Nothobranchius furzeri: one gene and its partners. The protein of the gene in region 5 purifies or fractionates together with the protein of the main gene of each other region. This does not show direct contact. Links are inferred from orthologs where the notes say so. Each region holds a gene or a part of one and is shown on either strand. Other genes may lie near its edges. The genes, in order: prpf4, dhx38, eapp, prpf31, cd2bp2, ppp1caa and snrnp200.

What was found.
Region 1: the proteins of cd2bp2 (region 5) and prpf4 purify together in Homo sapiens (affinity purification with mass spectrometry; 3 studies listed by BioGRID and IntAct, with this or other methods). This does not show direct contact. The link is inferred for Nothobranchius furzeri from reciprocal best matches to the Homo sapiens genes CD2BP2 and PRPF4.
Region 2: the proteins of cd2bp2 (region 5) and dhx38 purify together in Homo sapiens (affinity purification with mass spectrometry; 3 studies listed by BioGRID and IntAct, counting the BioPlex papers as one, with this or other methods). This does not show direct contact. The link is inferred for Nothobranchius furzeri from reciprocal best matches to the Homo sapiens genes CD2BP2 and DHX38.
Region 3: the proteins of cd2bp2 (region 5) and eapp purify together in Homo sapiens (affinity purification with mass spectrometry; 3 studies listed by BioGRID and IntAct, counting the BioPlex papers as one, with this or other methods). This does not show direct contact. The link is inferred for Nothobranchius furzeri from reciprocal best matches to the Homo sapiens genes CD2BP2 and EAPP.
Region 4: the proteins of cd2bp2 (region 5) and prpf31 fractionate together in Homo sapiens (co-fractionation; 3 studies listed by BioGRID, with this or other methods). This does not show direct contact. The link is inferred for Nothobranchius furzeri from reciprocal best matches to the Homo sapiens genes CD2BP2 and PRPF31.
Region 6: the proteins of cd2bp2 (region 5) and ppp1caa purify together in Homo sapiens (affinity purification with mass spectrometry; 3 studies listed by BioGRID and IntAct, with this or other methods). This does not show direct contact. The link is inferred for Nothobranchius furzeri from reciprocal best matches to the Homo sapiens genes CD2BP2 and PPP1CA.
Region 7: the proteins of cd2bp2 (region 5) and snrnp200 purify together in Homo sapiens (affinity purification with mass spectrometry; 8 studies listed by BioGRID and IntAct, counting the BioPlex papers as one, with this or other methods). This does not show direct contact. The link is inferred for Nothobranchius furzeri from reciprocal best matches to the Homo sapiens genes CD2BP2 and SNRNP200.

Annotation. Positions count from the first base shown.
Region 1 is NC_091746.1:69,563,499-69,567,533, reverse strand, and holds the start of prpf4 (U4/U6 small nuclear ribonucleoprotein Prp4), read left to right. Parts: upstream 1-1,235; 5' UTR 1,236-1,373; intron 1,374-4,035. UniProt on the Homo sapiens protein: Plays a role in pre-mRNA splicing as component of the U4/U6-U5 tri-snRNP complex that is involved in spliceosome assembly, and as component of the precatalytic spliceosome (spliceosome B complex).
Region 2 is NC_091749.1:58,498,376-58,501,875, reverse strand, and holds part of dhx38 (pre-mRNA-splicing factor ATP-dependent RNA helicase PRP16), read right to left. Parts: intron 1,919-3,500; coding exon 1,756-1,918; intron 1,467-1,755; coding exon 1,348-1,466; intron 1,233-1,347; coding exon 1,159-1,232; intron 1,077-1,158; coding exon 921-1,076; intron 846-920; coding exon 684-845; intron 545-683; coding exon 437-544; intron 277-436; coding exon 155-276; intron 1-154. UniProt on the Homo sapiens protein: Probable ATP-binding RNA helicase. Involved in pre-mRNA splicing as component of the spliceosome.
Region 3 is NC_091758.1:7,754,136-7,758,194, reverse strand, and holds the start of eapp (E2F-associated phosphoprotein), read left to right. Parts: upstream 1-1,259; 5' UTR 1,260-1,367; coding exon 1,368-1,447; intron 1,448-2,996; coding exon 2,997-3,175; intron 3,176-3,353; coding exon 3,354-3,467; intron 3,468-3,534; coding exon 3,535-3,643; intron 3,644-3,720; coding exon 3,721-3,849; intron 3,850-4,059. UniProt on the Homo sapiens protein: May play an important role in the fine-tuning of both major E2F1 activities, the regulation of the cell-cycle and the induction of apoptosis. Promotes S-phase entry, and inhibits p14(ARP) expression.
Region 4 is NC_091745.1:76,608,082-76,612,348, forward strand, and holds the start of prpf31 (U4/U6 small nuclear ribonucleoprotein Prp31), read right to left. Parts: upstream 2,801-4,267; 5' UTR 2,661-2,800; intron 1,657-2,660; coding exon 1,441-1,656; intron 1,365-1,440; coding exon 1,304-1,364; intron 1,199-1,303; coding exon 1,115-1,198; intron 1,018-1,114; coding exon 920-1,017; intron 551-919; coding exon 444-550; intron 1-443. UniProt on the Homo sapiens protein: Involved in pre-mRNA splicing as component of the spliceosome. Required for the assembly of the U4/U5/U6 tri-snRNP complex, one of the building blocks of the spliceosome.
Region 5 is NC_091745.1:8,817,564-8,820,310, forward strand, and holds the end of cd2bp2 (CD2 antigen cytoplasmic tail-binding protein 2), read right to left. Parts: intron 2,731-2,747; coding exon 2,573-2,730; intron 2,494-2,572; coding exon 1,938-2,493; intron 1,863-1,937; coding exon 1,777-1,862; intron 784-1,776; coding exon 673-783; 3' UTR 501-672; downstream 1-500. UniProt on the Homo sapiens protein: Involved in pre-mRNA splicing as component of the U5 snRNP complex that is involved in spliceosome assembly.
Region 6 is NC_091745.1:8,625,255-8,628,211, reverse strand, and holds part of ppp1caa (protein phosphatase 1, catalytic subunit, alpha isozyme a), read left to right. Parts: intron 1-2,655; coding exon 2,656-2,787; intron 2,788-2,957. UniProt on the Homo sapiens protein: Protein phosphatase that associates with over 200 regulatory proteins to form highly specific holoenzymes which dephosphorylate hundreds of biological targets.
Region 7 is NC_091757.1:37,093,742-37,097,669, reverse strand, and holds the start of snrnp200 (U5 small nuclear ribonucleoprotein 200 kDa helicase), read right to left. Parts: upstream 2,801-3,928; 5' UTR 2,571-2,800; coding exon 2,526-2,570; intron 2,372-2,525; coding exon 2,208-2,371; intron 1,801-2,207; coding exon 1,629-1,800; intron 1,548-1,628; coding exon 1,355-1,547; intron 1,250-1,354; coding exon 1,194-1,249; intron 1,102-1,193; coding exon 1,003-1,101; intron 917-1,002; coding exon 764-916; intron 685-763; coding exon 585-684; intron 494-584; coding exon 357-493; intron 280-356; coding exon 202-279; intron 124-201; coding exon 1-123. UniProt on the Homo sapiens protein: Catalyzes the ATP-dependent unwinding of U4/U6 RNA duplices, an essential step in the assembly of a catalytically active spliceosome. Plays a role in pre-mRNA splicing as a core component of precatalytic, catalytic and postcatalytic spliceosomal complexes.

The DNA of each region.
Region 1 (4,035 bases), on a different chromosome or scaffold from region 5:
GATGGCAACTGGGGAGTGTGTAGAAACCTTTATGAGATGGGAGAGGTACGAGGGGCAAGGTTGTGAGTGGCCTTATATGTGATGAGCAAGATTTTGTAGTCAGCCCTGAATTTTATCAGCAGCTCAGAACTACATGATGGACAGCAGCAGCTCAGGAGTAGAGCGGGTTGTCCACTAACCCGAAGGTGGCAATTTCGATCCCAGCTTCAGACAGAGAATGCTGCCGTGGTGTCCTTGGGCAAGACCTTTACCTGCTGGTGGTGGTCGGAGGGACCGGTGGCACCAGTGCTTGACAGCCTTGGCCGTCAGTGTGCCCCAGGGCAGCTGTAGCTACATCGTAGCTCATCTCCACCAGCGTGTGAATGGATGAATGATGCACTGTAGTGTAAGGCGCTTTGGAGTCCTCAGGCTCTGAAAGGTGCTACACAAGCGTGGGTCGTTTATCATTCATTTACATGTTTCACTGATCACGCTTCTCACTGCTCAGGTCACTAACAAGCCCTCCAGATGCTTTATCATCTCACTGCAAAGAAAGCATCCAGTAATTCGTCCTAATGTTGGTTCTGCCACTGCTGACAAACCTCCACCTTCACCAGCAGGTGGCACCACCGTGCATTGTGTAGGACCTACTGATAATTCAAGTTAGAAAAATTCACCCAACATCAGAAAACCAGTTTTTCTTAACCTAAAAGGTTTACCAAGCCGGGCACAAGAGTATCGATCAGCTGTGACGATTTGGCGCCACTAGGTTTAGGGTCCTACTGTGGAGGAGATTAAAAATTCACCTAATTAAAGACACATTTATCAAAAAATGTTAGGAGAGCAGGGCAAGTTGATTTATGTGGCAGACCTACAAGAGTTAGCCTGTAGGGGGGGAAAACCGCGTCTAACCCCGCAAGGAAGCCCCGCATGGATGGGGAAAACACGCAACTCTATGAGTTTCGAACCTGCAACCTTCCGGTTAAGGGGGGGCTCTGGGCTCCTGTGCCACCGTCACCCCATCAACGTAAAAGCGTCGCAAGCAGAGGTTTTAAATAACGCAGGTGTTGCGGGTTGACTCCACACAGCGTTATGTTCCAGAACATCCGAAGTTGTTGAGGCGGAAAAGTCGAATCTGTGAACATCATGTCAACTTTACTTCCGTCCACCCGAACCCGTTTGTGTGACGAACCCAGGTGACTTTACCTGACGCACCGAGACTCTCCTTCGTCCTGATCGTCAGCTGTTTGGTTATCTGGCTAACAGGTAGATTGGTTAATTACCCATAAGTCCACGGATCCACCAACCGGAAAAAGAAGCTTTGACCCGGAAGCCAACAGTTTCATATCCGGGTTGCAGTGCTAGGAGACGTTGCGGCTTCGTCTGTTTTTACGGTAAGTTTGAACAACAAAACAAACGAAGCTTTAAAACAGAGAAACACGCTTATGGTCCAAACAGCAGGTGCGCGTGCTCGGCTAGACACGCGTGTCCGTGAGCCGTTAGCTCCGAGTCACGTGCGAACATCAGAACGCTTCTATGGTTTCGTCGTGCGGTCCGTGTGTGTTCTGCACAGCTACGGTTACAGCACCAGTTCACTACTGGTGTGGGTTGCAGCACCAGTTCACTACTGGTGTGGGTTGCAGCACCAGTTCACTACTAACTCACTCATAACATCTATGATAGCTTCCAGGCAGTCAGGTTTTCGTAGAGCTCGTTCTACTGAAACCAGGGCCGTGCAGAGACCTTTGACGGGGCGGGGCTCAAAGTAAAAAAAAAAAAAAAAAAAGGGGGCACTTTTAGATCAATCCAACAAGTTAAAAAAATCTGATAATGAGACCCTTGGGTTCAAACAACATAATAAAAATTTATCAATTAGTGTTAATGTTAGTTAATAAATAATGAACTAACCCTAACCCACCATTGCGTGGGCGATGGTGGCACAGGAGTTAAGATCTCGCCCCGTAATCGGAAGGTTGCAGGTTCGAGCCCCGCTCAGTCTGTCGCTGTCGTTGTGTCCTTGGGCAAGACACTTAACCCACGTTGCCTGCTGGTGGTGGTCGGAGGGACCGGTGGCGCCTGTGCTCAGCAGCCTCGCCTCCGTCAGTGCGCCCCAGGGCAGCTGTGGCTACATCGTAGCTCATCCCCACCAGTGTGTGAATGTGTGTGTGAATGGGTGAATGACTGATTGTGTTGTAAAGCGCCTTGGGGGGTTGCAGGACTCAGAAGGCGCTATATCAAATACAGGCCATTTACCATTAATAGTTTGTCACTGGAGAAACAAGTTATTCAGTTCTTTGGAAGTAAGGGCATTTCTATTGACAGCACCACTATAGCTGCATGCTACACAATTCCTAAAAAAACTGGAAAAAAAAAACAAAACAATAATTCAGTTTGTGAGCAGGAAACATAAAGTTGACTTGTTAAAGGTCGTAAAGAAGCTTAAGGGCACAGGAGTGTATGTAAATGAGCACCTGACAAAGAAGAATGCAGAGATTGCCTGGCAAGCAAGAATTCTGAAGAAGGAGAGGAAAATACAGGATACCTGGATAAGGAACTGTAAAGTAATGATCAAGCTTACTGGACCACCAGAACAGGCTATGGTGGTGAGCATCAAGAGCCTCTCTGAACTGGAAAAACTCAAATGATGAGAAGAAGATGGTATTTAATTCATGGACACAGCAGACTACAAGAAATCAGGAAATAATAGATTTTTTTTTAGGTTTGTCAGTGATGTAGATCATAAAATCTAAAAAAAATATCAAATCTGATAGATAATGGAGTTGACTCAGAAATTAATGGTTGCAGCAACACCCACCTGGACTGTGAATATTATATTGTAGAGGACTTCAAAGTGAGTATGTGTGGATTTTCATTAATACACTTTAACAGCAGAAGTCTCTACAACAATTTATCTAAGATCTCAGATTACCTAAATGAGTTCAAGGAGAAACTTACAGTAGTTGCAATTTCAGATACCTGGATCAAAGATGGAAAAGAGTTATTGAATAAACTGGATGGCTATGAAATGTTTACTCAGAGCAGACAAAACAAAGAGGGGGTGGGGTAGCACTTTTTGTTAGGACTGGTTTTGATTGTACGAAACTAACAAATATGACCTTCATTGTTGAGAATTTGATGGAGTGTCTGACAATTGAAATTAAGTGTAAAAAATCCAGAAACATCATTATAAGTTGTATGTATCGTAGTCCTGGTTCTTCTATAGATCAGTTTAATGAACGTATTGAAACATTATTTGGGCAATGTAGGAACAAAATTGCTTTAATTTGTGGTGATTATAATACTGATATGTTTAAATCAGATGATAATACTAAAATAGCTGAATTTATCAATTTAATGTTTAGTTTAGGTTTCCTTCCGTTGATACTGAGACCAAGCAGGATAACAGCCGTAGTATTACACCGATTGATAATATATTCATAAATCAATCTGACGTCAAGACAAAGAATGGCCTTTTTTAACTGATATTACTGATCATTTACTGGTGTTTACTGTGGTGGAAATGATGAGAAGTGATGAAACATCTCTGGAAAATGTAAATTATACCACAACTAGAAAAAAAACTTCTGTTGCAATTGAAGCTCTGAAATATGAACTGTTTTGCTCTGATTGGACTGATGTTTATGTTGATGATGTTAATAATTCTTATACAGGTGCTGGCCAGTAAATTAGAATATCATCAAAAGGTTGAAAATATTTCAGTAATTCCATTCAAAACGTGAAACTTGTACATTATATTCATGCAATGCACACAGACCAATGTATTTCCGATGTTTATTACGTTTAATTTTGATATTTATAGGTGACAACCAATGAAAACATCAAATCTGGTATCTCAGAAAATTAGAATATTCTAAAGGCCAATGAAAAAATGTTTGTTTCTCTAATGTTGGCCAACTGAAAAGAATGAACATGAAAAGAATGTGCATGTATAGCACTCAATACTTAGTCGGGGCTCCTTTTGCCTCAATAACTGCAGTAATGCGGCGTGGCATGGACTCGATCAGTCTGTGGCACTGCTCAGGTGTTATGAGAGCC
Region 2 (3,500 bases), on a different chromosome or scaffold from region 5:
CACAGTCACAATTCTTGTCATGTGTCTATGTATGTATGTCTGATCTCAGAATTGTGTGTTCTGAAACAATTGAATTTCCATCTGGGATTAATAAAGTATTTTTGAATTTGAATTGAACTGAATTACAAAAACTAAATGTGCAGTTTTCCATTACTTGTAGTCCACTTTGCCATCTTCCCCAACCACTTTGGCCCCAGGCTCTTCATCTTCTTTCTTCTTTATACCCATAATATCACCCAACTTGGTGCCTGCCAGTTCCCAGTGTTTGTGCTGCGCCTGAAGGCAGAAACAAAATGTTTGAATCATTTACCGATTTTAAAGGTTTCATCAAGAACAATTAGTGCAAATGTACAAGGAGAAATTTGTGGTGGTAAAAGAAGCAAAGGGTCACTGAGACTGAAAACACGTAGGGATTTAGGAGGCGGTCTCGTCTCACCTTCTTCCGTTCTTTCTGCTCTCGATGTTTCCGGACAAGCTGGCTGCCCTTTCGAGAGATGATGGCCATGTCCGAGGTGGCGTCTTTCACAGGGATGATGGGCTCTGGCTGCAGGATAATAATACACAGATGAGAGAAAAAAAAAAGTTAAAAGAAACTCTGACATTAGTATATCAGATGTGTTGGTTTGATTTAAATCCAAACTTAGTTGAATTAAATAAACTGAAGACTAAAATGTGGTTTTCACCTGTTTAGTGAAGACTATTCTTCCATCCAGGAAGGGAGGGACCAGATTGTGAACTAGCAGGTGAACCTTAGCAGCATTGTCTTCCTCAAAGTCTTCATCCACCTCCAACCTTTGCACCACGCCACTGGTCAACATCCGATTGGTCTCCCATCGCTCATTATCCTAAGAGGAAACGCAAAGCTTGTTAAAAGGTTACAGGAAGCTTGTGCAAAAAGAAACGGATAACACCGTTTGTACCTCGTTGATCTGTCGCTTCTGTGCAGAAATTCTTTTCTGAGTCTGTTTCTGGAGGATTTGCTCTCTCTTCTTCACGTACTCCTCAGAAGTTGTAGTGAAGGGGTTGTGAAACTCATCATAGCCTTCATCCATCATGTACCAATCTCTGTCAGCTTGCTGCATGAAGGAAACAAGTAAAGATCTCAACAGGAGATAGTTTACGATGAAAAACAAATGAAATGATAACGGTAACACTCACCTTCTGGTCATCCTCCCACTGTTCTTTCTCATCTTCATTGTCAAACATAATTCCTCCCTCACGTTCGCTTCTACCTAAAGGAAACACCAAGAACAAAAGGTTAAATGCTTCATTTAAATCCAACATGAGTAAAAAATATTATTTTAGATTAAATTATGACCAAGCAGTAGAAAATATAAACAAGTTTACCTTTTCCTTGGGATAAGCGAGGCGTGGAACCCAAATGTTTTCTGTCATTGGCCCACTCGTTGTACTTGTAAGATGGTGTAGGTAGGGGTGTGTCGTCAAGGTAACGGCCTTTAACTGATCTAAAATCCCAGCAGGTAAATACGACATTTTAATCACGTTTAAAAGTTTTAGTCAAATGTAAAAACACCAAAACACATTTTTATTGTTTAAAAAAAAAAGAGAGAGAGATTCAAGCATCAATGACTATTTTGTAAAAAAAAAAAAAAAAGATAATTTGCATTCTAGAGCTCATAAAAAGAAATGTTCTCAAAGAACAAAACTATAAATTACAACATTAAACACAAACAGGAATAGAACGCTTTAGGGTCATCGAGGTTAAAGGCACAGTTTAAATAACATAACAGTTACCTGTCTCTCCTCTCACTTTCTCTGCCTGAGCGATGGCTTCTCTCTGAGCGGTCTGCCTCCTTGTGAGATGGGGTCGGAGATGGGGACTCCCACTGAGAACGCCTTGAGCTGGCGTAACCGCTGTCATCTTCATCCCAGTTAGAACGGGAAGGGGTGGAGGAATCTATGCAGAAAGAAAAGAAACAAACAAGAACACAGTGTTACGATGGGCGGCCCTCGGGCCGGCTAAGAGCAAATGTTCGCCCCTGTTTCGGGATGGGGCTGCTGGTTTGGAGTCCTCTGACTGCTCCTCCCACATCAGCTGGAGTGCACAGGTGCTTCACATCCCGCTGATGAGGACGCTGAGAGAAAAGGAGCACAGAGACGCGCAGAAAAAAAATGACACGGAAGTTGGAGACGAGAGAGGTTGACGAACTCCGACCCGTTAAAAGCCAAGAGAGGGCAGATGAAGCGGCCTGAGAAACTTTCAAAGAGCGGCTGACTGCTGGAGAGGGATAGGCCGGCGAGCGGGTGGGGAGCTGACGGAGATCGTGAAAAACTTGAACATGATGGAGCCTGAGGAGCCCAACTGAGAACGAGAGGGCAGCCGAGCCGAACTATGAGACTTGATCCGAATGACCTGATCCTGATCTTTAACCGGAACCTAGCGTTTGGGGATGCGGTCCTAAGCCAGTACATGGAACGTTGTGGACGAATGAGTATACCCGGTTCATCTTAAAGCCGTTTCTGTTTTCACTGAGCTCTTCCTTCTAACTTGTCATTTCCTAAAGTCCTGAAGGAAGTTTGGTGTTATTAAGCTCACAGCATTCCTGTTTTGCTTAAAGCCAAGTCGGCCCACCCTCCTGTTGACTCTTGAACTTGAGGAACAGCCTCACGGCCCGGAAAAGGACTGGATGCTAGAAGAGAATTGTCTTTCCAACGTGATTGGTGGTTTTAAAGTGTGCGCCTTAACAATAGAGGTGTGAATCTTCACTTGTCTCCCGATTCGATTCGATTACGATTATTGGGTCAACGATTCAATTCGATTCGATATCCCGATGCATCACGATTATTTCATATTGATTTGTTTTCATCGATAAATAGAAGATGTCAGATAACTGCTTTTTATTTATTTTTATCAAAAACGTAATTGACACAACTTGCCATCCCTCAAAATCTCTCCATTCACAACAGGTTAGGACAAAACATTTTAAACATTTAAGAAGATTTAACAAAGTAAAACATCTGTTTCCTGGTTCAACACCACGCCTCAGGCTGAGAAAAACACGCTTTGCAAAAACTCACAAAATCTAAAAAAGTACTGAAAACCTACAGGACACATAATGTAATAATAAAATCCATAATGTGTTCATACATGAGTGTTTAATGTCTCTGAGCAGCTCTAGAGTCAAATATTTATGCCACAGTTCAAGGAAGTCAGAAATAACACCAAATGAAATGTTTGACTTAGTTTATTTTATTTGAACCCAGTGGTTCGTTTCTGAAATGTTGGAGAATGAATCAAGTTCTGTTTGATGCAGAAAATAATAAAACACAAAACAAATTCTACACTTCCAATATTTAAGATGTGTTTTATTCTTTCTGATAACACCAGCAGAAGGCTGTGGGCTGGATTAGGATTAAATTACCCAGCTGATGGATCTCCTTCACTAACCAGCTAACTACAAACCTTTCCACTAACCTGTCCTGTGGGACCCTCACCATGTAACCTTCATGTCCATGCTGTCTCTGGAGGAGCAGATAGG
Region 3 (4,059 bases), on a different chromosome or scaffold from region 5:
ATGCCGTGAAATGTTAACATTGTTTTTGCTGGTGTGCTGCTGCATTAGGCTGTTGTTAACTAATATATACATGCACTCTCTACTTTTGGATTTTTCTTTTTAAAGACTTTTGAGACTTCTTCTTTTGTTTCATATATACATACATACATACATACATACATATATATATATATATATATATATATATATATATATATATGTATATATATATGTATATATATATATATATATATATATATATATATGTATATATATATATATATATATATATATATATATATATATATATATATGTATATATATATAAATATATATAAATATATATATATATATATATATACATATATATATATATATATATATATATATATATATATATGTATATATATGTATGTATGTATGTATGTATGTATGTACATTTATATATTTATATATATATATATATAAATATATATATATGTATATATATATATATATACATACATTTATATATTTATATATATATATATGTATATGTATAAATATGTACATACACACATATATACATATATATGTATGTATATATGTATTTATATATGTATATATATATATATATATAAACGAAAAACACTTTAAATCTTTTAATGTTTTTATGATCTTGGACACAGATACATTTATTACATATGTTTTCGGAAGGTTGCAGGTTCGAGTCCCGCTCAGTCTGTCGCTGTCATTGTGTTCTTGGGCAAGACACTTAACCCACGTTGCCTGCTGGTGGTGGTGGGAGGGACTGGTGGCGCCAGTGCTCGGCAGCCTCGCCTCTGTCAGTGCGCCTCAGGGCAGCTGTGGCTACATCGTAGCTCTTCCCCACCAGTGTGTGAATGTGTGTGTGAATGACTGATTGTGTTGTAAAGCGCCTTGAGGGGTTCCATGACTCTAGAAGGCGCTATATCAAATACAGGCCATTTACCATTGATAACATCACAAATATATTTCAACACAGATGTAATTTTTCATAAATATTCTATAATTTTACATGTGTATTATCACAAATATATTTCACAGCTTAGTGGTTCTTCATCACAATTATAATTAAATTTAAAGTGGTAATTGTGAAAAATTATTTACGTAATAATTAGTGTTATTATGCAGATTTCGCATACATTTCTATTTTTGTATTCGCACTGAGCAGGAATCGAACCCACGCAGTTCGACTCCCGGACAAAACAGTTTAAAAAAAAACTGCCTCAACCCTCCAGTCCACTAGAGGGCGCTAGGGTAGTTTGGAGTTGGTTTTCCACCAAGTGGAAAGGTGACATAGAACTAGTCGTTTTCTGTCACTACGTAGAAGTAATTATGTTCCCATAGTTAAACTTTCAGCCGTCAGAATGAACATGCTGAATAAATCACAGGACTTTGACTCATATGAAGTCGAAGAGCCAAGTGACGAGGAGCGGGCAGCGAGCAGGTAGGGATCAAATAAACTACGGTTTCTAACATTAGCATCGTGGCTAGCATCTCCGGTGTTCTACATGAACTAGACATCAGCTCAAATGGTGTGTGGTGGATGCATCGGACATAGGTGGCTCATCAAAGCCTGATCAAAACTATGCGAATGTAAACAAACTGTTCATAAACGTAATTGATGTTGGTATAAACGCGAGTAAAGCATGTTGCCTTCTATCTTATGTGACATCTGTTTGTGAGCAATCGTTCTAAAATAAAAAAGAGGGTCAAAATGATCACAACTGAAACAGCGTTGAGGCGCGTTAAGGTGAGGTTGGTGTTTTAAATTAACTGGTGATTCGTCCCTTTACTGGTTCAAACAGCCTGTTTATTATGATCCATGGAAATGAACATGGATTTAAGCTGCTTGGTTTGAACCCACACGGGCTTTTAGAAACTCGTTTTCTTGGGTTAATTTACGACAAAACTAGAACGAGAGTTTTGTACATCTTGTTAAAAAAATAATAGAGCAGACTTGTACACTGTGGTCCAGATGAAACTCAACACAACTTTTATACAGTATTATTAAAACACTGTCGACGAGAAGAGATGCTAGTACATACTCAGTCCGCTAACAGATTCACTCTCTCAGAAGAACTCAAGACCTTATCCCACTGAATCCAAGACCCCAAGGCCACAATGCCCCGAGCATTATCTGGTTGTTCTGCTCTGGTGTTTCTGTTTTATGTGACCTGGACTCATAGAGTTACTTGGCTGAAATATTTTCCCGTTGCATGTGATGTCATACTACTCACTGGAACACCTCTTTCTTCGTGGTGGAAGTGAAGGGAACAGTTTGTCCAAAAGAAGCTAGTTTGTAGCCTTATATTGTGCTTAGTTTGTTGGTATTGCTGTAAGGTGGTTATCGCTACTAACAGACGAGCTTATAAACTCAACTTGTTTTTATTTTAAATAACTTTGATGGGAACGGAAGATGGAGACGGACAGCAGCTGTCAATCACTTGTGTAGTAATAGTTAAAATAAGGGATGCAGCACCAGTGCTGCTCATTTGTTTTGTCGGGTAGATTTTCAGTCATCTCTAGGGATGTAAGACAATATCGATATGGCAATATATTGTGATATTTTTTCCAGCAATATTACATCGATATTCAAAAGCCGTGTATCTAATTCTTGAAAGAATTTACATGCAAACATTTGTGTATTTTCTTTTCGTTTTGTGCAATTTAATCGCCGCCCGCTAGTTTGCAGCAGTGTGCAACAGGTTTTGTTTCCACCATTGAAATGTAAATCCCTCCATCATGGTTCAGATACCTCATGTTAAACATGTTACGTATCAGTTTGGACTGTTAAACATTCTTACAATAAATTCAGTAAAAAAAATTGCTTGTAACGTCTGACTGAATGTATCGCAATATATCTTGATATATCGTATCGTCTCCCCTGTATCGTGATATGTATCGTATCGCCAGAATTTCAAAAGTACACATCCCTGGTCATCTCAGACCAAACATTTGAGGTTTTTTATTTTCTTCTTGTGGTTGTGTTTCAGTTCAGAGGATGAGCTGGATGTGCTTCTGAACGGGACAGCAGAGCAGAAGAAGAAGCTGATCAGAGAGTATCTGACGGGGGAGAGCGAGTCGTCCAGTGAGGATGACTTTGAAAAGGAAATGGAGACGGAGCTCAGCTCCACCATCAGGAACATGGAGGGAACCTGGGCACCAGCAGCTAGTAGGACACCAACAAATGTTATTATAACTAGTTTAGTTGGACCAAGGAAATTGTGTCCTGTTTTGGACGTGGCAACTAATGATTGTGTGTGATTAAATAATCATTGTGGCCCTCCGCGACTGCTATGAAATCATTCCTGAGAGTTTAAGTGGTGGTGATGAAGTTTCTCTTTGTTCAGACAGCGGTGGTGAAGGAGCAGGTGCCGGTGGCGTAGGAGGTTCCAGTGTTCCCAATCCACCGATGTATGACGAAGTTTACTTTGATTCTGACTCAGAGGACGAGGACACACCAAGTACGACGTCACTTTACACGACTTCATCTTCACTTTGATTTTGGTTAATTTCACCTGTTTGTTACAGGCAGCTCTACCAGCTGGAAGCGGAGACAGCGTGTAGTTCCTACCAATGATGAGCTGTTGTATGACCCAGACGAGGATGACAGGGACCAGGCTTGGGTAGACGCCAGACGGTAGTTCTGTAAAACACTGCCACTAGTACTTTTTTTGTCTTCTTGTAGGCCGTTTACCCATTTCTGTTCCTGTTCAGGTATAACAGCAGAAAACAACCAAATGCAGCCTCCCGGTCCAAATCCGGCCAACCTCGGTGTTTACCCAACAGTGATGCTGTTCTCAACTGTCCCGCCTGCATGACGACGCTCTGCCTGGACTGTCAGAGGTCAGGCACAACTATCCTGCTGTGTGTTCTTGTTGATTGTGTCAGCTAGCATGAACCAAAAACAAAGTTGTATGGCAATATCACAACGGGTTGCACTAATGTTCCCTAGGGTGCACGACACATCACAGATGGGTCCATATCATTTACAGTGTCACGCATGTATCAGAGCACAAAGGGAACAATGGAGTTTCATCATTTTAGCTGCGTGTT
Region 4 (4,267 bases), about 68 Mb from region 5:
AATGGCTATTTTGTTGTTAATTTGCAGGAAATATCTAGAAGAAAGTTCTACAGAAAGTAGCTAAGGGTCCTCAGAAATGTAGCTAGCTTTGTCACTAGGCGTTAGGAACAGCGACAAAGTGGCACTGCCTCTCTCTCTGCTGCTAAAGCTACGGATAGCAAATGCTACGGGCGATGCCTGAGCGTGAACGCGCATGAAGCAGCCTGCTCGACCCGAGCATCTCTCTTTTTCTGTGATTTTACAGAAAAACAGGCAATCACAGTAAAAATGCCAGGGCTCATTCTACAGGACCAGGGCATTGCAGGAGAATGTATGAAGAAGACATTTATTATTTCTATACATGTTTTGGCTGTCAAACTTCCATAATGCCCCTTTAACATCTGAATTATTCAAAAACTTCATGCTGTTCACTCGCCAAACAGGATTCTGACAGGAAAACTCACCCCTGTGTGGTCGATGCGGTGACACTGACAACCATAATAGTTGCATTGGTCAGGATTTGCTGCAGGGTCTCATTGTTTTTACATTTATCCAGATTGTTTCCCAGTTCCTACAAAAAACACACAAATATTACTGAATGTTTTGCTAAATCTGCACACACACACACACACACACACACACACACACACACACACACACACACACACACACACACACACACACACACACACACACACACACACACACACACACACACACACACACACACACACACACACACACAAACACAAACAAAAAAAAACTAATCCGGTTTTACGTTTAAAAAGTTTGGAGATAAAATTAAAAATGTAAATAAACAGCAGAGAATTGTGTGATTTCACAAATCCTTCAGAAAATATTTATTACATTTAACCAATGACACAAATATTCAAAAAGGTGACATTTTAATGTGAAATTCAGAATCAAGACGTCAGCTCACCTTGACTGTGCGAATGTAATCTAAAGCATCTGGCACCAAAGACTCGAGCTCAGGAAACCTCTTGGAGTATTTGTCTCTTGTAAACTTGTGAATGATGTCTAAAAGTACAAAAGGAATAGAAAAATTAGATGTGTGGAATTACTCCTCACGCTTTTCTGTCACGGTTCCTCGCAGCGGAACAGCCAGCTGACTCACTGAGCTCGTTGTCGATCTCCACAGTAAGGTTGTTGGCCGCTACGATCAGCCTGTATTCTGGATCAGCCTCAACAGGACCAGAGACTAAAAACAAACACAGCAATCACTTCAGATTTGTCAGCACCGAGCTGATTTAAATGCTGTGAGGGACGCCTGAGCATTGATGAAACTCAAAGGAATCAAACTGACCGTCTGAATTTTTGCGTTGCTTTCCCACATATTCTGAAATTTTGTCCATGATGTCTGAAAACTAAAAACACACACAGTTAAGTGGGATTCTAATGTTTTATTGTACATCTCACTACACAGAAAACTCAGATGATAACCTGCTTGCTGTTGCGAAGCTTGGCGATGGACGCAACGCTTTCAGCTTTACTGTAGTCCACCTCCATCTCCTCTGGAATGTCTTCCAGCCCTGCCTGTGTCCTTCCCTGGATCCCCTCTCCATCACTGTCTCCCTCCTCCTCATCTGGATACAATCCTTCTTCTCCTTCATCTGCAGCCTCCTCCAGGTCAGCCAGGAGCTCGTCTGCTAGAGACATCTGCAAAAGAGCAGCGAATAAAAATAACAATATGAAGATGATAAATACATGAAAACAAACCAAAGTGTGTGTCTGTGTACACCCCCTTCTCATCTTAGACAGTATATTCATAACAGCACTTTTCTTCTACATTTTCACACACACACACACACACACACACACACACACACACACACACACACACACACACACACACACACACACACACACACACACACACACACACACACACACACAGAGAAAAAGAAAGAATGGTAATAAAAGCCTCATCTTAATGATGAACATCTATTTTTATTGTAGCTCTGATCTTCAGATTTTTGAACATGTTTTTCCACTAACTCCATACTTCTGTTTCTTTAATTTAAAACTTCATTAATCTTTGGAAAAATTTAATAGAAGGCGTATTTATGCCAGTAGTTACCTCTACTAAATAATCTAATTTTAATATGTAATTTGATATTTCGTTGGATTAAATCACATTATTTTAGTGAAACCAAGTAAACACTGGCACATACATGTACACAGATAGAGATAACCTGCTTTTCTAAAACACCAAATACTGTCTCATTCACTATTTCAAAAGGCTGAAAACACAAATGTACAGCAAATCACTATGTTTTACATTATTACTCATTTTAACTGATTTCTAAACATTTATACACGACCAAAATTATCTCGTGCAACCGGTAAACCTGAAACTGCTATTAAACTAAAATTATAGTTTGCTAAAGATACATTTTAAACCTCATACACAGTATTTCATTGAAATACTATTGGTAGTATACAACTTTTTGTCTCGTTTTCAGTGGCTGCATGGCATTTCATTACTTCAAGCTCTTCAAATAACATGTAAAATTGCAACACATAACATAAATATAATAATTAACACATTTTAAGATGTTTTTCTCAGCCGCGTTAACACACCAGCTGCGCTGTTAGCTAGCTAGCGGCATCAAACGTCTCCTAAACGTTTCCTGAAGCTTTATTAAAATGTTAGAACTCACCTCTGAGATTCAAATTGAGATTATTTACTCGGGGAAAAAAAACTTCAGAAGACAACTAATCTGTTTAAACACGCTGTTGCTATTTTATTTGTCCGTTTAAAGCTAATGTTGTGCTCTGCTCTTGTCGCAGATTAAATACGTAATGAGCTTCCTAAGGCCTTCTGGGAAATGAAGTCACTGGCCCATAAACTGAGAAATAGATGAAAACTAATTGCTTTATTTGCGAATACTTCGTTTTAAGATGACAAACAGTGAGATTTATATCCATGAAAACATTTTAGGTAAAATATCAACTTTTTTCTGTTTTTATTTCTTATTTCTTCTTATTTATACATCGTCCCCTTTGAAAATCATTTTAAAACAACACAAGTTTAACATTGAAACAGACTAAACAGACTTGCCGGACCTCTGCAGCATGACCAACTGTTATTAGTTAAAAAAAGAAGAATAAATTAATCAACAAATACACAAACAAATTGACTTATTTACTCATGAAAAGCTCTGATTTGTGGTGCTAAGCTACAATAATCATTATCAAACAAACAAGTAAAAAAGTGGTAAAGCTCCTGAAAATGTTGACCAAGACCGAGAGAGAGAGAGAGAGAGAGAGAGAGAGAGAGAGAGAGAGAGAGAGAGAGAGAGAGAGAGAGAGAGAGAGAGAGAGAGAGAGAGAGAGAGAGATTTCCACACAGTAAAGATCGTCATAATATATTAACAAGTAAAATTATTCGAAATACATTTTCTTCCAGCAATTAAAATGTTTGGGAAAATATTGTATTTGTTATGAAGATCTTAAGAGAATGTACAACTTGGATGCACTTTATCCCAAACTAAATAAATTTCATAAATGTTAACTACTCTAAAGCAAATAAATGAACTTATAAATAAATAAATAAATAGGTAAATTAATTAACTAATTTGCACAACTTGGTTTACAGCAAATAATTCTATCAGTATGATAAATATAAAAATAAAACAAATTTTAAAAATGCTTTTCTAAGATACAAATCCAAAGTAAAATACCTTTTTTTGCAGTCCAAGATTGCTTCTTAAAGCAAAAGCTCTAAAACAATATTGTGTCCACCTATGTTGTGATACTTGCACAAATGCTGAGGAGTATTTTCAGATACAGGAGTCAGGAAATGTCTGCTTGAAACTGCTGCCTACAAGCACGACGGACTGACTGCAAAGAAAAACGTCGTTGAGGATAAACTGGGGAAGAGTCCAAGCGTATACACAGACGGATGAACGACTAAAGAAAGTGCATCTCCCTCCCACACACCCTAAGAAAACGATTCAACAGAATGAAGGAGAAAAGAGAAGGTACGCTGGTACACAGCAAGACTCCCACTGCATAGCTGACAAAGTTGTTTCAGATTTTACAAAGCTCCAAAGTTGCTCTTTTTCCAACATAAGCTCATATTTCCAAAGACTCTGTAAACAGTGGCAGGCAGGAGCTCAGATAACTTTTCATACAAGATCCTGTCACTGGCGAAGTCCGGGAATGTGTCCAGAGTCAGCGTCTCAACGTTCTGGTCGCCTGTTCAGTAAAAAAATATCTTCTGGGTGAATGGCTGGTTGTTGGGTAAATTCACTGCCCTCTGGAG
Region 5 (2,747 bases):
GTCGCTGGTTGAGGCCAGCCAATAGGAGCATCGGAAAAATTCACGAATTCTTGTATATCTAGCGTCATAAGCGAGTTTTTTTAATAACTTGACACACATTCAGGAAACGGTTTAACACATTTAAAACGCAATGTTGATAAAGCGGACACTATTCCTTTCATATCGCCTCTCTGATAACTTAAAAAAGCATAAAGCTCAAGCTTAAAACCATCTAAGGACGAATTTAAATTCACATTACGAAATTAATGTGCATATTTACTGGGGAATGGTTTATTTTGGTTATTAGGCATTTTCCAACTCTGCCTAAATACTGTAATAAAATTATTCCGACAGAAAATAACTTACATTGCCCTGATTTCCCTGTGCTCATGTTTTCTAACTTTAAATGTAAACACGTTATTAAGGGCAACAATAAAATGTAAAACTGCAGTGTATATGAATAATCAGCATTTACAAGCTGTGTCCTTGCTTCAGAAAAAGAAAGAATAGAATTTCAGCAATGATGCACACAAGCCTTTTATTTAAAAACTATCTGCAGAAAACAAAGGCAGGGCTAAAATGAATGGACCAATTCTCCTCCAAACCCTGGTGTATAAACAGAGAAAATCCAAGTAAAACATGAGTGGTGACAAAATTCAAGAGGGCTGTTTTTCATCTGATGGTGTACATAATTCATGTGAAGAGGTCAAAGTCTATTCTTCTGGAGTTGTAGAACTGAGATCCGTCCTGATCCACCCTCCTGCAGTAGACGCCGCTGCTAAAATAGCCTTCATCCACCCAGCCCTGAAAACACAGCAGTAAGAAAATAAAAGCCCACTAGGTCAGACTGGGGTTAATGAGACAACCAGTCAACAATTCAATTATTTAGATTAAATGATGGAATTATTGGTATTTTGAGGAGGGAAATAAATAAAATACATGTTTAAAACATTGCATTTAAATGTATGAGGTGTTATACTTATGTTTTCTTTTAAAATATAAATGTACAAGAAAAAATAAAAAATTAAAATCAGACTACTCACTGCCTAACCCCTAATTTCCACTGAATGCATAAGCGTCGCGTAACGTAATAGAAGCATTTGACCTCCAATCTCAGTCGCTTGTCCCTTCCTACTGGGAGCGTTTCAGAAATGAAACAGCGGCAAAAACATCACCAACAGCTGAACCCACGAGATCACGAAATCACCAGAGAACTGGAAGTTCACGCAGTAACAATGAAGAGGAAAGACGGCAGCATTTGTCTGAAAAAGACCTGTGGTTTGTTTTGTGTTGGGTTTACCTCGGCTACAGAGGCATCACAACTATTTTAAACAAGCAACTGGAAATCGGCACGTGTCTTTTATTATTTTTAAAGTGTCCAGATGTTTCCCAGTGCTCCTGTGTTTGTCCTGATCTGAATGGCTGAGACTGACATGTCATGAAAGCACAGCACGAAAGCACAGTGCTAACAAAAATAAGAATGGAAGCATAAATTTAACGGAGCAACGCGTCACTACGCTTCTGGGATGCCTCAAAAACGTTGGCGCTAAGCAGTCGGTGGAAACGCACCCACTGTGACGGCGGCTATTTGCTGTGTACTACACTTCGCGGACGTTGCAGGGTGCTTTGCAGACGTTATGTGATGCTAATGTGTCAGGTGGAAAAGCCCGGTAAGTGTTCTGAATTCCTCACAGACACACAAGAATCTACATTCGTAATAAAAAGGAAAACCCTCTTAATCCACATCAGTTTGGAAGTTGGGCATTTAACACGTCAGAGCTAAAATAGTAGTAATACCTGCATCTGCTGGCTGGTGAATGGCCCATAGACCTCAGATTTTTCCTCATTTTCCCATTTGTATTCCCACATCACTTCATCACTCACTGAGAAGAAAAAGGGGAATCGAGGTAAGTAACCTTCTTCTGAACTTAATCATTTATAAGCATGAAGGAAAGAACCTTGGTTGTCATCCTCTTCTTTCTCACCAATCTTCTCATCAAACTTATCACCAAACATGTCAAGCTCATCTTCTTCCTCATCGTCACTTTTCGTCTGCCTCACTGCTGGCTTCTTGCTGGTCATGCTTTTCATCACGTAGGCCAGTTTTTCATAGCTCTGCTGATAGATTTCAAACATCCCAGATCCAACCAGCCTGTCAGCTAAAGCTGTGAGCCTATCCAGCTTTTCCGTGTCTCTTGAAGCTTCCTCTGTGGACTGGTTTTCTTCTCTCAGCTTTCCCTTCTTGCGCCCTCCAAGGCCTCCTAACCGACGGAGCGCCGCGGCGACCGTTTCTCCAGGCTGCAGCAGTTCAACAACAGCTTCAACAAGCTGCTGTTGAGTGTAGGCAGCCAACGGGTCCTCTGCAGGCATCTCCTCCTCCTCTTCATCCTCCTGGTTTGCCTGCTGTTCTTCCCTTCGTTTCTCTTCCTCTGCCTCATCTTCATCACCGACTCTGCGTTTCCGTTTGGCTGCAAGACCTTTCTTTTTCTTAATAGGCTGCTCTTTTATTTTCACCTGCAAGAAAACAGATACTTCACTTACTGCAAAATGCAGAGCTTCCATTAAATAATCATTTGTCTGAGAATGCAATTACCCAGTCTATGTTGTCGAGCCAGTTGTCTCTAATTTGTGTTTCCTTTTTGATGAAATAGTTTCCCTCTGAATCAAAGTGGCCTTCCTGCATCTCCTCTTCCAGGTTGAAAGGTGTAATAGAAACTCCTTCGTCAAAGTCAATAGTCGCTCCTTCTTGGCCTGGAAACAAAGGTGGC
Region 6 (2,957 bases), about 190 kb from region 5:
ACTATGTACATCCCTACTTCTGATAGAAAATAAATGGTGAAACTCTAGGATTTGAAATTCCTGACAGATCTATGTCACACTGTCACTTAACATTCGTGGGCTCACCCATCATGACTTGCTGCGGGGAAGGCTGCTATTAGCGCCCAGGAAACTGCAAATAGCGTCTTTGCTAGTAGAACCGTTAGCATTAGAAACTTCACAACACAGCAGAACTCCTTCAGGCTTGTTATCTGTGGAGATGAAACATCAGTGTTGTAAGTCAGTGGTTGAGTCGCATTGCTGTTATCCAATCAAAGGAGAGATGTCCAAATATCAGGAAATAAGACTCCAAAAACTGCCGTCTGAAGCTCAGCTGTGATGTGGCTCACTTCTATTTCCTGAAATGGTGCTCTGGAGTTTTTGGCCAGTCTCGGTTTGGTTATGAAGCCCCTAGAAACACCTCAATCAGAACTCTCCCTGCATGATTGATATATATATATATATATATATATATATATATATATATATATATATATATATAGTTTGAGATTTTTTTGTCTATGGTCTAATTCTCAATGTGAGCTGGGTGCAGATATAAGCTTAAAGATCACACACTCTTCTTTATGTGACAGCATGCAAACACTTTATCTGGTTAATGTTTGGGGTCGATACTTTTCCCAGAAGCCTGTAGATGTATGTAATCTTAGCCTTCAGTTTGTTTACCTTCTTGTAAATAAAGCCACATGACTAGCCTTAGCTGAGCTGTTGGATGTGATTGGGATTATACTCAAATATGCATGTGCAGTGAAATATCCTCCTGGGACTTTGACATTGACTGAGGGACATGCTGGAGTATGCCGTACATGGATTGTTGCACTTGGACTGTGATAATAATGTCTGCCAAACACAGGAGATGACAAACAAGCCCGATAGTGGCAGTATTTATATCCTGTTATGCAACTCACACCCCTTTTTGTACATATGGTTATATTGCCTGGTAAATCAGTTGTATCTGCTGCGGTCGAGGTTGCGTGACATTGAAGAAAAGCTCCCTGCTGCATGTGCTACATTGAAACTTAGATTTAGTTTTTTCTCCTGTGCGTGAAACGAGGTTACCTCCCTGCTGCTGTGTTTTGAGACCAAACCAATTAACAGTGTTTGGATAATTAGGAGCTACAATTGGATTACTTGTGCAGATCTGAAGCTAGGCTAACTTGGGATTGTTGCTGATAGCATGTTAGCAGCGTGCAACATCACAGAATTCAAAGCATTGAGACGCAATTGCTGAACCGAATGAACTGCTGATTTCACCCCCACAGATTTGCAGCAGTACGGGTCCAGCTCTCTGGCTTTGAGCCCCTTGTTCAGTGTAGTGGAAAGTCTTTTGTGTACTCCCCTCATGACGGGGGCCATGAGGCTAACTTTGGAGTAAACTCCGCCAGGGCTTAACCTTCTGTAATCCAGGTTTTAGGCAACAAGCAGCCACACCGTATTTATAGCTGCTTTCTCGGCCTTTTGTGGTCCCTCCATTATCATGCTCTTTCTCCACTTTCATTTGGCAATTCCTACTTTTAATAGCACTACTCACACAGCAACAAGAGACAATTTAATCTGTGTTTAAATCATTCCTAGGCAAAGTTAACATACTGGAATGGTTTGTTGGCTAAGCTGAACCAAGTTTGTTTTTTCTGTCATCGGCCCGCTCATGTTATTGATTCTGTTAGTTATGCGAACTAAAGTGATTCACAGCTGCTGCAGCAGCTTGCATAAGGGTGCAGTGCACAAATGTGTTCTCAGCTGCAGCTCCTGGATCTGGACTTCTTTAAGAGCATATTTTTAGAACGTGGTCATTTTTATAATTGCAGACTGCCCGTGAGATTAGGGGACATCCTGGTGCCTATTGTGTCTGATGTCATCAGCGTGTGTGTGTGTGTGTGTGTGTGTGTGTGTGTGTGTGTGTGTGTGTGTGTGTGTGTGTGTGTGTGTGTGTGTGTGTGTGTGTGTGTGTGTGTGTGTGTGTGTGTGTGTGTGTGTGTGTGTGTGTGTGTGTGTGTGTGTGTGTGTGTGTGTGTGTGTGTGTGTGTGAACACACATGCAAACATTTGAAAAAACCTGCAGAATTCTAGAGGAAGCATTAATATGTTTACAAAAAGAAAACACTCATTTTTTCCTAAATGTTATTTATTAGTAACATTTTTACTTCAGTCATTTATTTAGTTACATTTCTGATATTTTATGTGTCGAAAGCGTTTATCTATCAGGAAATTGACTTGTGTGTTTTCAGCATTTCTGCTGCAGCATCAACATGAAGAGGAAGTGGTTTTACGCCTTTTAGCTTCGGTTTTAACATCAACTTCAAAACGAGCAAAACAAAGCCGCTTCTGAGGCTGAGCACGCCGTTACATGCTGCTCATCGTGCCCCCTAAGCTCTTACTTACTTGTTAGGAGTTTAATTCTTTCATTTCTAGAACAATATTACCTCTAAATGTTGTGAGTACCTGCTGAAATGACTGTTGGACTGAGCCGCTAACAGAACTTGACAGCATTTGGCTGGTGGGAGGTGTTAACCGTCCAGTCTGGTGGTCTGGTTCAAAATCCAAGCTTTGCTGTGTGTCACTTGTGATGTTTCTTCCATAAAATAAGTGACATCTCTCTTTTTCCTATTTCCTCCTCCAGTCAAAGGCTCTCGGCCAGGAAAGAATGTTCAGCTAACGGAGAACGAGATCCGCGGCCTCTGCCTGAAGTCCCGTGAGATCTTCCTGAGCCAGCCCATCCTGCTGGAACTGGAAGCTCCTTTAAAAATATGTGGTGAGTTTTTGTAAAAATTAGGGGCTGGAATGTAAAATTATAGTTTTTCTGTTTATTTTGAGTTTATTCCTCCTAATAGTTATTGCTCATAAACCAGGAGCTAATTAGACTTTTTCTCCTCACATAAAGGAAATCTTACACAACATGTTCCTCCATTGGCTGAAGTCTTA
Region 7 (3,928 bases), on a different chromosome or scaffold from region 5:
ATAACCTTTGCGCTGCTTACGAAAAGAGCCATCGGGCAACTGACAACGTTTGTTGGCCATGAAGTGGCTACCCTGAGTGAACGTCAAGTCTTCGAGGTCCAGAACCTGCCGAGGGACTACCGACTGTAGGATGAGAAACACAAATGTTCTCAACACACACACACTTTTACCCGGCTACCTGGACCATGTCACACTAGTTACCTCTCCATGACCAATGTCCATTGACTCCAAGTCATCAACACGAGACTTCCTCACCCTCTCCCTGCGAGATCGCTCTTCCTGAATAACAAAAACAAAATATGGAAAATCATTTCTTGCAAAGTGGTGACAAACAGTTCAAAACCAAGATGTCTTACTCTAATAATGTCCTCTTTCTCCGTCTCTTGCAGCTGGTACAGGATCTTGGACAGCTCTTGGTCAGACTCCATCTTTCCTATGATGCGTTCCTTCTCTGCTTCGCTCTGAGCGCTCGCCAGCATGGTACAATACTGAACTGTGAGTCAGACAAGATAAAAACCAGCAACTTCAAATAAGTTGTGCAACAGAACATCATAGCCCAGCGCAATTCAACGAGCGCAACTTACTCATGCGACGGTGCTGACGGAGGATTTTAATGAAATCAAAAGTGTTGAAGCCTAAAAGCAGCACCAGCTGGTTCTCACATTCCCTGTCGTCGCTGGCGGTCTGTAGAACAAGAAAGGCATCAGGTGTCAAAAGATGCTACGTTATGCTGCGTGACTAATAAAAACAGTGAAAATCCCACCTTGAGGATTTCTAAGACTTCGTCGGCTTTCTTCTGCGAGACAATAGCATCATCATAGAAGCGGCTGAGCTGACGCTGGAGCCAAAAGGCGTCAATGTCTCGAGGGTGCAGGTCTTTTTTCTTCACCGTCATCACGCCACCCGTTTCGCTAAGCTACAACAAAACAGAATTCAATTTTTAAATCAGAGAGAAGAAAACTGTGGAAATACCACCTGAACCAACAAAAAGGCTGTACTTACATTGGTTGTAAGCCTAGTGGACACAACAGCCTCCTCTCCTTCACTGTCTTCATCCGAGTGCTCATCTCGTACTTCACCAAACTGGTCTTCATCTCCTTCCTTTATATAAGTAACAAGACGGGGGGAAAAAAAATCACTTTTTCATTTTAATCAGTTTAAATACAACTAAGACATTAATAATTAAAACGTACTTCTTCATCAGACTCAAACTGGACATTGACACCGTACGTCTCATCAATGTTGTCATCTGCAGATAAATAACAAAAGATTTAGATGATTTGATAACAGCTTAAAGAGAACATGGTCACCAAATAAACGAAACACTTTATTAAGATATTTTAAAGTAGCTTACCCATATTCTGCAGGTCCTTGTCTTCACCATAGTCTGTGATCTTCTTTCCCAGATTGACCAGCACATGATAGCGCGTGTCATCAGAAGGTCCAAGAAGCTGTTCCACTTCACGACGCCTTTCTTTGTCCCTCATTTTGTCGTTCTTGAGCACCGCTAACACCTCATCAGCTGCTCCACACAGAATATCACGCGGCTGCAGACAATTGGAGTTCACATCAGCTGTGCGTTCGCCATCAACAGTGCAAAAGTCTTAAGTGTTGTGACGTTCACTAACCTGGTCTCCTAACGCAGCATGAATGAAGCTCAGCAACACTTCGTACGTCTCTCTGGTTTCTTTGGTTTTAGGCTTGTACACAATGCCCACCATCTCATCGATGCCCTCAGACAGGAGGGTAAAGCCTTTCATTTTGTTGATATCATGTCTGTCCTCATCTCTTTTACGTCTCCTGTTGTGAGATAAAACGGGATAGTTCAGATTTTTTTCCTCTAAACTGCAATCAATCTGCTGTCTCCTACAGATTAAACATATGCAGCTGTTCCACATCAAACCCCACTTCAAACAGCAAAACTACACCTTTTAAGTATATGGTGCAATTACATGCTTCACACGTTTGTTAATGACAATTAAAGGAGGATGAAGGTCAAAGACGGTTCTTTTCATTTCATTTAAATCTGAATAATTCTATTACTGTCCTAATTGAGGTATATTTCATGTTAAATGTGATCTATTCAACGTTCAAGTAAATTATAGAATGTTTTAAATTGTATAAGAATCATACACACGAAAACACCACCTGTACCTCGATTCTAACAGGTAAATGGTTTTAAAAACATCAGTGTTAGCTGCACTGACTTGTCTCGTCTCTCTTCGAGCTTCTGGGGTTTGGTCCTCTGAGCCTTGTCACCCATCTTCGTCCCCTCCATTTTCCCCACCAGGGACACCACCTCCCCGGTGGATTCATCTCTCCGAGTGCGGTCGATCAGAGAACGATCGACTTGCAGCACCAAGTTTGAGTTCTACAAACACACAATTAAATGAGACCCATCAGTTCAGCGGGCTGAGCTGCTTCGGCTCCGGCAACACGATCCACTAAACATCATAATTAGAAATCACTAGTCACAGAAACGTTTAATAACCCCGAGTTATTATATTTACACCCAACATACTTACCGCTTTGTACTCATACTGCAGGTTACGAGCAGTAACATCCGCCATGGTGCCACTTTTCCTCCGGGGTTCACCGCTCTCTGTGAACCAGCACGCGCACTAGTGAAGTTCACAGAGCTGACGTCACTCTGTACTTTTGTTAAAACGCTGTGAACATTAGTAGCGTGTTCTAATTTCAAACATTAAACCACTTTTACTCACAAACAGAAAGTAGCGTTTTTCATACGTAACAAAAGCACGGCTAGCACGAGCGCACAACAAGTGGGCAGAAATTTCCTCTTCCGGTGTCAAAGGGAATGAAACAGACACAAAAGGTAAACAGCGCCCTCTAGAGGCTTGGTGTAAATCATTCAATTTGGATGTTATTCGATATTTTTACATGTCGATGGCTAAATCTCACGAAACCCAGATGGCAAAAGTTCTGACGTTCTCTAATGAAGTACAAGTACACATTTTTGTATAAAAATGCTCTGGTAAAAGTAAAAGTATTTAGTGACCGTCTTTATTTAGTAAAAAGTAAAAAGTACAGGCTCTAAACTGTACAAAGTCAACAAACAAAAAATAGAGAAAGGGGGACAAAAAGAAGTCTTCCTCTGAATAAAAGATGTGTCATTGATGTACCACTGATTGGTCTTTCAGATGAATTTTAATGAAACCAAGAACTATATGATGACAAAATCAAAATATTTTAGAATAGAATAGAAAATGTCCTTATTGTCCCTCCGTGGGGAAATGATTGTGTCAAAGTCACAATTACTGCTGGGTTTCCTTTGATAGGAAACTTTTAACAAGTCTCAGTGGTAAACTAAATTAATTGCACTAATTATTAGGTTCAATTGGAATGTTTACTTTGTTGTGAATTGGGAATTAATAAATAAAGTTACTGAATTGAACTGGGACCGTGTGAAGTTTTACGTAAAATAAACATAGGCGTCAGTTTAACCGGGGACGCCGGGGACATGTCCCCGGCAAAATTTGTGATTGGCAGCTGTGTCCCCCCCACTTTCAAAAAAGCCTGCTGATGAGGATTTTTGTTTTACCAGCTCAGGGGTCAGCAACCTGTTCCCATCAAAGAGCCATTATTACCCGTTTCCCACAGTAAAGAAAACACCGCAGTAGCCGCAGCGTTGTGGGCGGGGCCTACCCTCAGACAGCAGAGGGCTGCTCACAACCAGGTGACAGCAGCAGGTACAGGTCGCTCGCATGGACATCGCACCCGTGGGGGATTCAACGCCCACACTTTTCCAGCTGTTTTGCTCACCTCCACACCAGTCTGGTTTCTTTATGTCGCACTCACTCTGTTTGCCTCATCTCCTTCTTCACCTCCGCTTCTAACAGCCGATGTCGGGTTTCCAGGAGAGCAGGAGAGGGAGTGACGGAAGAGCTCGACTGAATTCATAATTTTA